4 separate regions of the Mus musculus genome follow, and regions 1, 2 and 4 are each reported to be linked to region 3. Evidence: microRNA targets listed by miRTarBase, many of them from high-throughput screens and not tested one by one. Region 3 holds a microRNA gene; each other region holds the end of a gene's coding sequence. Distances are between the middles of the regions.

Region 1 (3,251 bases), not on the chromosome of region 3:
ACAGGAGGTCTATCCCTAAAGCATAGCCCCAGTTTTGTCCACTTCTGATTTTGTTCCCTTAAGTGATGGTTTTGGGAAAACAGTCCATTTGAAAGTTTGAACAGTGTCTTTGCATTTCATTGACTTATCAAATAATTGTTTTCTAAGAGCCTACTATATGCAGACACACAGCCCCACTGCCTTGTGCTTGTAAAACTGTCCGGAAGCCTAAAAGTGAATTGGATCCTCTGACCCATCCTTTTTCCTTGGAATGCATGTCTGAATGACCCCAAATTACTCTGAAAAAAAAAGCATTAAGAGTCAAAGCGTTGCAGAAACAAGTGTGTGTTGTCAGTTTCCATCCAGAGGCCTGGAAATGCAACTGAAGGAAGAACACTGAGAATTGGACCTGGAGCTTGAGATCACGATAGCTCTGACATTAACATTTGGGTTAGTGGGGGTGTTAGTGCTATTAGGAATATCTAGCACTGGTGATAGGAGGAAATGCTCTACCATTAAGCCACATTCTACCATAGATACTCTAATGACATGGTCTCCTTATGATGCACTGGCTAACCTAGGACTCACTATGTAAACTGGGCTAGCCTCAAGTAGATCCACCTGCTTGAGCAGTGCTGAAAGTAAAGACCTGCATCACTAGGCCATCTTTCCCGAATGTCTCTTCCTGCCAGATGTTTTTATAGATTACTCTGCTTCAACCCCACTACAGTCCTATGGAAACTGGCGCTATTTGGGAAAGATTGTAAATGAGTAAAATGCTTGGGGTTTTTGAGTTGGCTCTGACAAGTGAGAAAATATATGAAAAATGAACATCTAAGCTTGGTAAAATCCTTGAGAATCTCAAAAGACAGTCACAGGGACGATAAAAGTGGCTGGGTTGAAGCAGGAATGACCTCCATGCTCCCCTCCAGCAGTGCATTTCTCTTTATGGGAAGGCATGTGGGACCATTTCTGGAGCTGGGACATCAGCATACACCCCTCATCCTCTTTGCTCCACTGGAGGAACCAGATGAAGCTGCCTGGCATCCCAGAATGGTGTAGGACATGGTTCTTTAGTCTCAGAGTCATGGTATGGCAGCACTAGCTCTTACTTTCCTGATGATCCAATCCTGTTCCCATGTTGGTGACCTCAAGCTCCATCACTTGGGCTTGAGGAAAGCAGAGAGAGACATAAAAATAAAAATAGCGCTTCAGCTTTTCTGAGGTGAGCTACACCCAGTCCCCTTCCCACACATATAATTTAAAATAAAACACATCTTTTAAAAAATTGCTTTAGAGCTCAGCAGTGGTACTAATCTTAGCACTTGGAGTCAGAGGAAGGCAGGGTGAGTTCCATGACAGCCATGGCTACACAGAGAAACCCTGTCTTGAAAAAAAAAACCAACAAATTTCTTTTAGCCAGGCATGGTGATATATGTCTTTAATTCTAGCACTCAGAGTGCAGAGGTACATGGACCTCTGGGTTCCAGGTTACACAGGTCTACATAGTGAGTTCTAGGACAGTCAGTGATACACAGGGAGATCTTGTCACAGGTTCTAAATAAATTATTGAAAAACAGTGGAACTGTTTGTTACATGAAGAGATTGTTTTATAAGGTAATTATGCTGTTATTAAAATTTTCTGTTTTTCTTGACTAAGAATTAAAATTTCCACAGAAAATGTGTTTTCAAAACGCTAAATTGGAAAGCAACCACTGGCTCCCTTTTTCTGAATACATTTAAGTGGCAGGAGCTGCAGTTTGTAGGTTTCCTTGTGTGAATGTGGAAGACCCTGTGAATTTGCCGCTATTGCACAGGGGCCATATACACTCTTGAATTATTAAAGTGTTAGTATATGTTCTGCTCAAATAAGCACTTACTTTGTTTTTTGAGACAGCACCTCACTTTGTCACCCTGGCTGGTCTAGAACTCACTCCACAGAGCAGTGGGTCTTGATCTTCCTCCTGTCTTTGTTTTCCATGTGCTGGGGTTACAGGTTACTACACCTGGCTTAGAAAGGTATTTTTAGCCAGGCCATGCCTTCATCAAGTGCAGGGTTTTACTAATGAGAAAGACACAGCAGAGGCTCAGGGAGTAGAACTGTTTGAAAGGATTACAAGGACTAGGAGATATGGCTTTACTGGAGGAAGTGTGCTTTGAGGTTTCAGAAGCTCAGTCAGGCTCTCCCTTTTTCCCTCCAATGGCCCCACTCCTCCCCAGTCCCCACACCCCACTCCACCCTGCTTGTGGATCAGGATATAGCTCTGAGGTATATCCTTCTCCAGCATCAGGCCAGTCTTGATGCCATGTTTCCTGCCCTGATGGCAGTAGACCAAGCTGAAACTGTGAGCAAGCCCCTAATTAAATGCCTTCTTTTATAAGAGCTGTCATGTCATCTCTTCTCAGCAACAGAACAGTGACTAAGACAGATCTATTTATGAAATCCTCTGGAAGCCTTTAATGTTAGATTTTGAAATAAACAACATCAGAAAATTCTACAAATGTAATTCTAAGAAAGAAGGACAAAGAAGAAATATAACAATCTCAGTTTTGTTTAAAAATGCAATATACATATATACATACCCATAGGAGGGAGACAATAAAAAGCATTAGCAGTAGTGAATGTCTGGCATTCCAAACAAAGGGGCAGGAATGGGTAGGTTTACTTTATGAAATCGCTCCCTGTATTTCTGAGTTCTTCTGCAATGAACATGTAGTACAGTGTCACTTGAAGATGGAGCAAAAGCAGTATTTTTAAAAACAGGAAACCAAGTCCACAATATTCATATTTACTCATTTTCATCTTCACTGTCAAAAGAAAGGAGACTGCTATTTTTTATTTGTTTTTGTGAGTTCTTTCTAACTGAACTTTGCTTATTTACATCATCTTCATTGGTTTTCTTCTTTTTGGAGCTTGCTGTTAAACCTGAACACTTTTCATCTGAGGAACGCTTAACTGGTTTTCGATAAACTATTCTTCCATCAGCTGGAGGTGGTTCTTCATCTGTGATGAAAAAGATAAATTGAAGCATTTTTTTTCTCTTTATTTTGCTGTTAACAAAGAGTCTAATGACAAGAAAATCTTATTCTGTACTTAACGATGTCTTTGAATCAATTTGGTCTGGTCTTCTCTATTGCTTTTAGTTATAACCCCCCCCCCCCCAGCACATGCAGTCACTCAATAAAAACTCACTAAAGTTTTCCATAATATTTAGTCCCCATCTGATTACAGTGAAGATGAAGAGGCCTGCACTTAGACCTCATGTATGCTC
Region 2 (3,204 bases), not on the chromosome of region 3:
AAACTTCTGTAGCCACTATGGACATCAGTATGGTGATTGCTCAGAAAGTTAGGAATTCTCTAACTCAAGATCCAGCCTATGCTACCCTTGGTCGATGCTTTATCACACCACAAGGTAACTTGCTCAACCTTGGTCACTGCTACTCTACTTCAGAAATTAGAAATTAGAAACAACGTAGGTGTACCTCAACAGAAGATACAGAATAGGGTATTATTCGGCTATTTAAAAAATGAAATCATGCAACTTGCAGGCAAATGGATACAAAAAAAAACCATCCTGAGTGAGTAAACCAAGACCCATAAAAATAAATATGGTATGCATTTACTTATATGTAGTTATTAGCTTTTAAGTAATAAATAAGCTACAACATGTAGACCTGAGAGGTTTTGGTATAGAGAAAAGGACCGCTGAGGGGGCACATGGATTTTCCTGGAGTGGGAATATAGAGTAAATTTTATGACTGGAATGAAATTGGAATGGGGGGGGGTGGTCAGGAGTGGACAGACTAGGGAAAGGAGGTGGGAAGTTTGAAAGGAGACAGGATTGAAAGAGGGAATGAGGGGAGACAGCTAGAACTGAAGGGCATTTGAGGGCAGGAATGGAAAGCAGGGCAGTTGAAAGTTACAATAAAATGACTCCTAATACTCATAGATCAGTACCTTACTCAGCCAACAACAGAGACACTTCCTCTTATAGCAGATGGGAACACATAGAGACTCACCAGCAGATATTATGAAGTGGGGAAGAAAGAGAGAGACACACAGATAAGACTGTACACACCTTGGAACACACAGCTGTACTGGATTTGTCTCCATTAAATCCCTCTCCACAGAGCTCAGGAAACTCTGCAGAAGAGGCAGAAGGTGTCTGGGAGACAAAAGAGACAATGGACACCAGAACACGGCCCTCTCAGACATCTGAGCAAAGCTCTTATGAGTTCAGAGACTAAAGCAGCATGGCCTATGGGTCTGGACCAGGTCCCCTATATATATACTCTAGTTTTCAGTTTAACACTTTATGGAGAGGGACTGCTGAATAAATGCAGAGTGGTTCTCTAACTCGTATGCCTATTATTGGCATCTTATTTTTCTGTTGGCTTGGCCTGTACAACCATGCTATGATGGTTTTTGTTTTCTCTTATTGTATTTTATTTTGTTATGTTTTGTTGTTATCTCTTAGAAGCCTGTTCTTTTCTAATGAGAGTCAGAAAGGGAGTGGATCTGGGTGTGAGAGGAGGTGAGCAGAAAGAGGAGTTAGAGGGATAGGAACCTGGATTTAGATATATCGTATGACATAAGAATTTATGTTTAATAAAAGGCAAAAACCAAAAACAGAAAATGAAATTTAATTTGTGAGAAATCAACTAATCTTCATGACATTTTAAGTACTATTATCATATATGTACAACAAATAAATTACACTCTGTTGAGCTTTAAAAAAATGTATTTTAATCTCATTCCAAACAGAAATTTCCAGATACAAATACATCTCATTCAAATCATTGTTTAACGTACGTTCTGAAACTTAAAATATTATAAGGATTCAATATTTTCATCTTTTATAACCTCAATATATTATATATTTAATATATAATATATACACAATACATACACGTAGTCAGCAGGATTGCAAAGTAATTCTCAAATTTGATCAGTATTGATAAATATTTTTAGATTAAACATAACTATTTAAAATCAAAGAAAAAATAAAATACAGCAAGGCCCAAAACTAACAGTGAGACCGCTGATGTTCATATGGCCAATCATTTAAAAAGAACTTTCAAGCTGGGTGGCATTCACTTTAAAAGAATATTCCTGCTACTCTCAAGTAACAGTACTTGTAGACAATAGGTAATTTATATCTCCATTCAATTTAAAATGACTATGCAGCTTTTCTTACTGTAATATACAGTAGCTTTCTCTTCCTTTCTGTTGGATTTTTTTTTAAGACTAATACATTACCAACAGAAGTAATTTTCGTTCCTTTCCCTTCCCTCGAGCATGGCTCAGTTTGAAGATTGTTCTGTAGGCAGCAACTATGAGTAGTAACAGTACCACAACACCATGAAAAGCAGTCAGTAACTGGAGTCCTAGAAGAAGTCTAACAGACTGTTGGAGGTTTGCAACTGTAAACCAAGATAATCAGAAGGATTACCCCTGCAGAGAGCCCTCTCACATTAGTTCTCTCAATGAGTTACAATTCCAATGCCACAGTGTGTAACAGTGTAACAACCTATCTCATGAGTTTTAAATATTACAACATTAATTCACCCTGAGAGTACAGAGGAAGCATTCAAAACAAAACACTCCAATAATTTTTTTCTCCGTTCTATTTGCATTCTTCTTTTGTCAATCCTTCAAGGGCACAGATATTTGAATTTAAAGTGTGACTTGGATATCCGTTTTTGACTGAAATTCATGCCACTGTCAAATACTGATGATAGAAAAGCCCAAAAAGGCTTGTAGAAAAGAGGCAAGCTGCAATCCACCATGTCAAAAATGACAGAAGTCCTCGAAAAAGGAGAGGCGTGAAGATGTTTTTTAAGCTGCTCAGGGCCACTGTGATTTGTGTAACAGTTACCTTCATCTTCCCATCAGGTGATGGTAGTTCAGGGTAAGCCGAGTTGGCGGGGAGATTATTATCCACTGGCAAGGGAAAGGCGGCTTCTGGATAAATTCCCCAGGAATGATTACCTAGGATATTCAAGACACAAAATTTGATAAGTAGATGATTCTAAGGATCAAACAAAATAAAACAAACAAACAAACAAACAAAAAAAAACAAAAAAAAAGAAGAAAAGCAAACCTTAAATCCCCACCCATATTACACATTAAAAAGTTTGGTGGTAAACAATTTTACATTGAAAATAAAGTAATAATTTTGCTATCTGTTAAAGTAATAAAATTAACTGAACCATATTATAGTCTTTTTTTAAGTAAAAGTATAATAAAAAAAACAAGTATGACAGATCCTTAATTCAGTGCAGTGACATCTGGCTATGAGTCAACAGCCTTCCTTGACAGAACAGACCCATTAACTTCCTAGAAATCCTTTCTGCCGCTACAGCATCACACCAAATATCTTTCTGAGAAAGATATGACATCAATGTGAGAAACAGTTAATGGCTTTTAGAACTGGTTTCATCATAAACTTTTTTACCTTGCATAGGCTGTGATTCACATAGTATAACTGAGCTACCTGTCC
Region 3 (3,251 bases):
TAGGATCCATCACACAAATACAGGGTGATCTCTAACTCATTATGAAGTTAAGCATGAATTTGAACTCCTGAGACTCCTAACTCTGGCAAGTGGTTTTCATTTGATAAGTGAGATTTTTCCCTATACCATGAATATACACTCAATGAAACTCAAAGCACGCATAAATCAAATGGATGACTGCCATGTGTGTTTGTGTGCACATGTATGTGTCCCTAGTTGTGTGTGTGTGTGTGTATACATATATACATATATATACATATATATATATGCATGTTCATATACGCGCATGTACAGGCATACTTCCCTATACACATAAACACAAACACAGGGAAAATCACATGAATTCCGGGCTGATCTCTAACTCATCATAAAGTTAAACATGAATTTGAACTACTCATCCTCATGATGCTGGCAAGAGTATTCACCTCCTAACTGAGTCATAGCTCGGGCCATTCGTGGGAATATGTTTGCATGTGAGTATATGCATATTCATATACAGAAGTGAATATATACACAACTATACACACATGCACATTCTTGGTGGGCATCACATGAATCGCATACTGAACTCTAACTCATCATGAAGTTAAACATAAATTTGAATTCCTCATCCTCCTGACACTGGCAAGAGTACTCACCTCCTAACTGAGACATAGCTCTGGCCATTCCTATGAATGTGTGTGCATGTGTGTATATGCATATTCATATAGAGAAGTGAATATGCACACAACTATACACACATGCAAATTTTTGATGGGCATAAGATGAATCCCATGCTGGTCATGAACTCATCATGAAATTCAGCACAAATTTGAACTCCTGATCCACCTGACTCTGTCAAGGGATTTCACCTGCTGAGTGAGACCTCTCCCCATTCAGTACTGAGGAATCTTAAAACTCTAAGTCACACGTCATTCAAATGGATCGATGAGTTGCACTGATGTTTGTGTGTGTGTTTCTGTTTGTGTCTGTGTACATGTATATATTTGTGTAGATAGGTACATCCATATACTCAAATCCACACACAATAGAAACAGATACAGATAGGGATACATAGGGGCATCACATGAATCCCAGGCATATCTTAAAGTCATCATGAAGTAAAGCATGAATTTGAACTCCTGATCCACAATCTTTCACACCTGGTGAGTAAAACCATTCACTGTCCCAAACTGCATAATCTAAAACTTTAAGTCACATATCATTCAAACGTATAAATGAATGCAATTTTTTTCTCTGTGTCTGTACTTGCATATACACGTGTGTTTATATTTTGTATATCATGTCAACAGAGGCAATGCATATACAAGTAAACACACATGCACATACATGGGTGGCCTCACATGAATACCAGGATGATCTCTAACTGAATTAAGCATGAATTTGCAATCCTTATCCTCCTGACTTTGTCAATCTTTTACACCTGGTGGGTGAGACCATTCAATGTCCCCTATTGCATAATCGCTAAAACTCTACATCACTTATCATTCAAAGGGATTGGCGAATGCCATTCCTGTGTCTGTGTATGTGTGCTTGCGTTTATACGTGTGTGTGTATGTTATGTATATTCAAATATAGACATGAACATGCACACACAACTATACACACATGCACATACATGGAGGAATCACAGGCTGATCTCTCATGAGGATAAGTATGAATTTGAACTCCTGATACCCTTAACTCTAGCAAGCATTTTCACTCTAAGTCACTTATCACTCAAATGGATTGATGAGTGCCATTCCCATGTGTCTGTGTGCTCATATGTGTCTTATGTGTGCGTGTATGTATATGTATATCATATTCACATATGTACATGTACACACACATCAACACATACACACATACATAGGGGCAATCACATGAATGCCAGGATGACCTCTAACACATCATGCCTTTACCATGAACTTGCACTCCTGATCTTCCCGACTCTACCAAGGGTTTCCCGTGGTTTGTGAGACCTCACCCTGGCCCAGTCATACATAACCTCCAAAGCAGTAGGTCACATATCATTCAAATGGATCCGTGAGTGCCATTCCCGCATGTCTGTGTGCATGTGTGTGTAGGTGTGTGTATGTATATGCATAAAATATACACGCATATACATGCAGGCACTTACGCACACAGGCACATACATAGGGGCCATCACATTATTCCAGGATGATCTCTAACTGCTCATGAAGTTAAGCATAAAATTGAACTCCTGATCTTCCTGACACTGCCAATTGTTTACACCTGGTGAGAGAGAATATTCACTGTCCCTCTACTTTATAATCAGCAAAATTCTAAGACATATATCATTCAAATGGATCAATGAGTGTCATTCTTATGTGTGTGAGTGTGCATGCCTGTATGTGTGAATACATTTGTATGTGTGTGTATTTACAGGGATGATCATATATACACATGTACGTGCACACACAATTATATGCAAATGTACATAACTAGGGTCGATCCCACAAATCCAGGGTGATCTCTAACTCATCATGAAGTTAAGCATGAATTTGACCTCCTGAGACTCCTAACTCTGGCAAACAGTTTTCATTTGATAAGTGAGATTTTTCCCTATACCATGAATATAAACTCAATGAAACTCTAAGCACGTATAAATCAAATGGATGACTGCCATGTGTGTTTGTGTGCACATGTATGTGTCCCTAGTTGTGTGTGTGTGTATATATATATATATGTATGTATATATATATATATATATATATATATATGCATGTTCATATACGTGCATGTACAGGCATACTTCCCTATACACATAAACACAAACACAGGGAAAATCTCATGAATTCCGGGCTGATCTCTAACTCATCAAAAAGTTAAACATGAATTTGAACTGCTCATCCTCATGATGCTGGCAAGAGTATTCACCTCCTAACTGAGTCATAGCTCGGGCCATTCGTGGGAGTATGTTTGCATGTGAGTATATGCATATTCATATACAAAAGTGAATATGTACACAACTATACACACATGCACATTCTTGGTGGACATCACATGAATCGCATGCTGAACTCTAACTCATCATGAAGTTAAACATGATTTTGAACTCCTCATCCTCCTGACACTGGCAAGAGTGCTCACCTCCTAACTGAGACATAGCTCTGGCCATTCCTATGAATGTGTGTGCATGTGTGTATATGCATATTCATATAGAGAAGTGAATATGCACACAACTATACACACATGCACATTTTTGGTGGGCATAAGATGAATCCCATGCTGGTCATGAACTCATCATG
Region 4 (3,000 bases), 27 Mb from region 3:
ATTGCTTTACATCTTTAGAATTCATGCCTGCTCACTCAGATGTCATTCTGAGTGTCATTCTATAATACAGGCTTTTTATTTTAGAGCAGAAAACATTATGTATCAAGATAGAAGAGCAATTGATTTGTGAGAGATTTGTGGGCCTCTTCCAAAATGGTATGAAGTGGACTGACTAATCTGGAAATGGTTAATGATAATTACTGTAAGAATTTTTAACCTGAAATTTTTATTGGAGTCCTCTCCGTTTCTTTTCTCTGTAGGTTTGCCCAAGAGAATGGTTCTGTTACCCGTTATGAAATTCCCAACATATCCTGTTCCCCACTACTCATTCTTTTAGTAAATGACAGAAGCTCATTCCTATTGAACAACAATACAGTACAATGCAGAATGTTAGAGAAAAAGCCTTTTTATCCTGCTTTCTTTGAACACATACTTACTTGATCAAAATTATTTGTAAAGAACATCTTTCCTACTTTTTGATTTTAACAAATGCAAATTCAGTTCTCTAAAACTTGAAAACAAACAAAAGAAACCAGTTCTGTGAAACGGTACCTCATTCCTGGAAATAATTTATACCAGCCCCTTCGTTGTAGGGAAGTCTAGCAGCTCAAAGTTGACGTTTTAAGAGAGTATCAGATTATGTAAAGTTAAATTTGTGAAGGATGTATAGAGTCTCAACACTGATTACAAATAAACTGCTTTGTTGTAACACAGAGTACTGCCTGGTTCCTGATGCAGTCACTGATTGGTAGCTGAGTGATATGTGCTTACTCCAGGGCACTTGAATTTGGGCTGTAGTTATTTTTTTTTTAAATACAGTAGAAACTTTTCATTTAAACTTTAACTTTGTAAATAACGAAGTGTGTAATTAAAGCCAATAAAATATGGGTTTGAATATTGTTTTATCTTATTATTTTTGATATGTTTTGGTATCAAATTTCAAGGAATTGAAAACTAGTAATAACTTGGCCCTAGAAACCCATTTATTTGTAAGCAAGCTGCTAAAACAAAGCAAAGATGATTTCTCAATCTATTCATTTTGTAAGCTCTTTGTACTCCATTTGTACAAGAGCATCCCCATGATAAGGTTACATTCTGTTATTCCAGCATTGCTTATTAAAATGATGGCACCATCCAAAGATGGGGAAGGAGGATTGTGATTATTTTAGTTTACGAATTTCCAAGTTAAAAAAATAAATTAATCAATCACCCTCTTTTGTTCTTGTGGCCTTCTTCACTCTGTAAGACTCTGTGTTCACTCCTTGACTTTTTCCATGTAGATAGATGATTAGCAGGTTTTTTTTTTTTTTTGGAATTCCTTGAAGAGTCTCCTTTCCTCTTCTTTGATATCAGAATCTAAAGCAGCAACAGGATCCCCATAAAAACTCGCTCTCTGATTGTCCCAGTTCTTGTTGAGTGCTGCTGTGAAAAGTGACAGATTTCAGCCATGGGTCAGCATTTACTTTTAAGACACCTGATTATACTGGTAGAAACTGGGAGCCAGTAACATTGTGCTGGTCTGTGAAGGGTGCAGACCCAAGTCCTTCCTTGCATTCTCACCATGTTTGGAAAGCTGATGATGTTACTAGAAGGTAATGGTTTCATTAAGGTACTCACCCCCATTCAGGCACAAGTGTAGTCCTCTGCAGACACAAGTCACTATTCTTAAAAATGATTTAGGAAGTAACTACTTTTCTGTTAAATTCCTTTTCAAAACTTCAAGCAGTGCCCATCACTTGAAAGTGGTCTTACTAAACTTAATGTACCAGGCTCCTTTGGAAGGGAATGCGAGATGAGCCTGCGGGCACAAATACTGCTCAGATGTGTATCACACAGTCATTTGTTCCTTTCCTTGACCTTTGTTTTCTAATAGTGGTGGGTGATACTTTAATAAAACCTTGTCACTTGCTGAAAATAGCTTTAACTTGTCATTCTCATCATGTGTGTTAGTGGCAAGACATAATGGAGCAGGGCCCTTTTCAGCTGGGAATTTTCATGTTCATTGGTTTGTTTTGCTGACCTATGGATGAAACAGAGCCATCACTGAGAAGAAAAAGCATGGCTGCTAGTATCTAGTTTTTAATTAATTAAATATTTACAATGGTTCTGTTTTTGAAATACTATTAATTGGCAGTTGCAGTTGTATTGTTATTTGAAATTGACCATCAAATTTGGACTCTAGGCTGGAATCTGCCTTGAGATTTCTCTTTAGAAAAGACTTTTGCAGTCTCTGACTCTGCCTCATAACTCACCCCCTCTCTGATGGAGGAGGAAGCTGTGCTGTTCTCCAACATGATGGCCGTCATTTCAAATGGTTCCTACCAAGTCTTCCCTCTTTCTTCTTAATTTTGTTGTTTGTTGGAAGTTACTAACCATGTTGTAAACCTGCCCAGTTGCTGCAAACTTTTACATTTCTCTGCTTTACTTAAAACAATGGAGCTGTTGACCCTATGTTAGAAGTGGTAACCATGCAAGTTCAATTGTTTAAATTCTGTAATGAATTAAGTGTCCTCCCACCTTTTGCCCGTCCCACCCTTCATTTTGTAATGAAAATTCCACTTACAGTTGAAAGAGCAGAGAAATATAAATGAAGCTCTTAGCTTCGTCCAATTGTATGAGATTAACATAAAGTTCTGCTTCTCTGCTCTTTTCTCCACTGTAGGTGGTTTTTTCATTGACAGCCCCTATTGCCAGCCTCTGAGCGTCGCACCATTTATTATTCACTTGGGCCCTCAAGATTTCTTCTCTGACTTCTAGAACCATCAGGTTGTCTGGCTTGAATGGCAATTTTATATCTTGGTCTTAAGAGCAATGTGACCCCTAAGGCTTTCCAGCTTTCAGATCCACTCTAACCCTTTTTGAAATCAATGACTAAGAATTTTAAAAAAGAGCAATACTTTGTCCAAAGCCACGATGTCTGTTTTAAAGCTCTCCTTTTGGACATGTAGCAATATCTAGATGTAAACCCTTCAGTGTGTAGCTCTTGTCAGGGAGTTTACA

Evidence for each region. Region 3 holds the annotated microRNA mmu-miR-466a-3p (UAUACAUACACGCACACAUAAGA, at 1,770-1,792, opposite strand). A microRNA usually pairs through its seed, bases 2 to 8, with sites in the 3' UTR of a target mRNA and lowers its output. Matches are read on the target gene's strand: a 7mer-m8 pairs with bases 2 to 8, a 7mer-A1 pairs with bases 2 to 7 and ends in A, and an 8mer does both.
Region 1: the mRNA of 1110059G10Rik is a reported target of mmu-miR-466a-3p. Seed matches in the 3' UTR shown: 8mer at 2,554-2,561 and 8mer at 2,546-2,553.
Region 2: miRTarBase lists Tmem161b as a target of mmu-miR-466a-3p. Seed matches in the 3' UTR shown: 7mer-m8 at 1,604-1,610.
Region 4: miRTarBase lists Strbp as a target of mmu-miR-466a-3p. Seed matches in the 3' UTR shown: 7mer-A1 at 663-669.

The regions. Positions count from the first base shown.
Region 1 is chr9:122,945,126-122,948,376 of GRCm38, forward strand. It overlaps 1110059G10Rik (RIKEN cDNA 1110059G10 gene), which reads right to left. Exons shown (of 3, transcript NM_025419.4): 3 at 1-2,983. The coding sequence ends at 2,769. Among named protein-coding and RNA genes, the nearest start is that of 1110059G10Rik, 4.2 kb to the right of the region's middle.
Region 2 is chr13:84,294,092-84,297,295 of GRCm38, reverse strand. It overlaps Tmem161b (transmembrane protein 161B), which reads right to left. Exons shown (of 12, transcript NM_175187.5): 12 at 1,330-2,693. The coding sequence ends at 2,416. Among named protein-coding and RNA genes, the nearest start is that of Gm41011, 48 kb to the left of the region's middle.
Region 3 is chr2:10,477,679-10,480,929 of GRCm38, reverse strand. It overlaps Mir466e (microRNA 466e), which reads right to left and starts at 1,842; the gene lies at 1,759-1,842. All of the region lies in intron 10 of Sfmbt2 (Scm-like with four mbt domains 2), which reads right to left. Mir669j (microRNA 669j) reads right to left here and starts at 3,020; the gene lies at 2,900-3,020. It overlaps Mir467a-2 (microRNA 467a-2), which reads right to left and starts at 2,132; the gene lies at 2,050-2,132. It also overlaps Mir669a-4.
Region 4 is chr2:37,581,367-37,584,366 of GRCm38, reverse strand. Strbp (spermatid perinuclear RNA binding protein) reads left to right here. Exons shown (of 18, transcript NM_001379315.1): 18 at 261-3,000. The coding sequence ends at 337. Among named protein-coding and RNA genes, the nearest start is that of Gpr21, 66 kb to the right of the region's middle.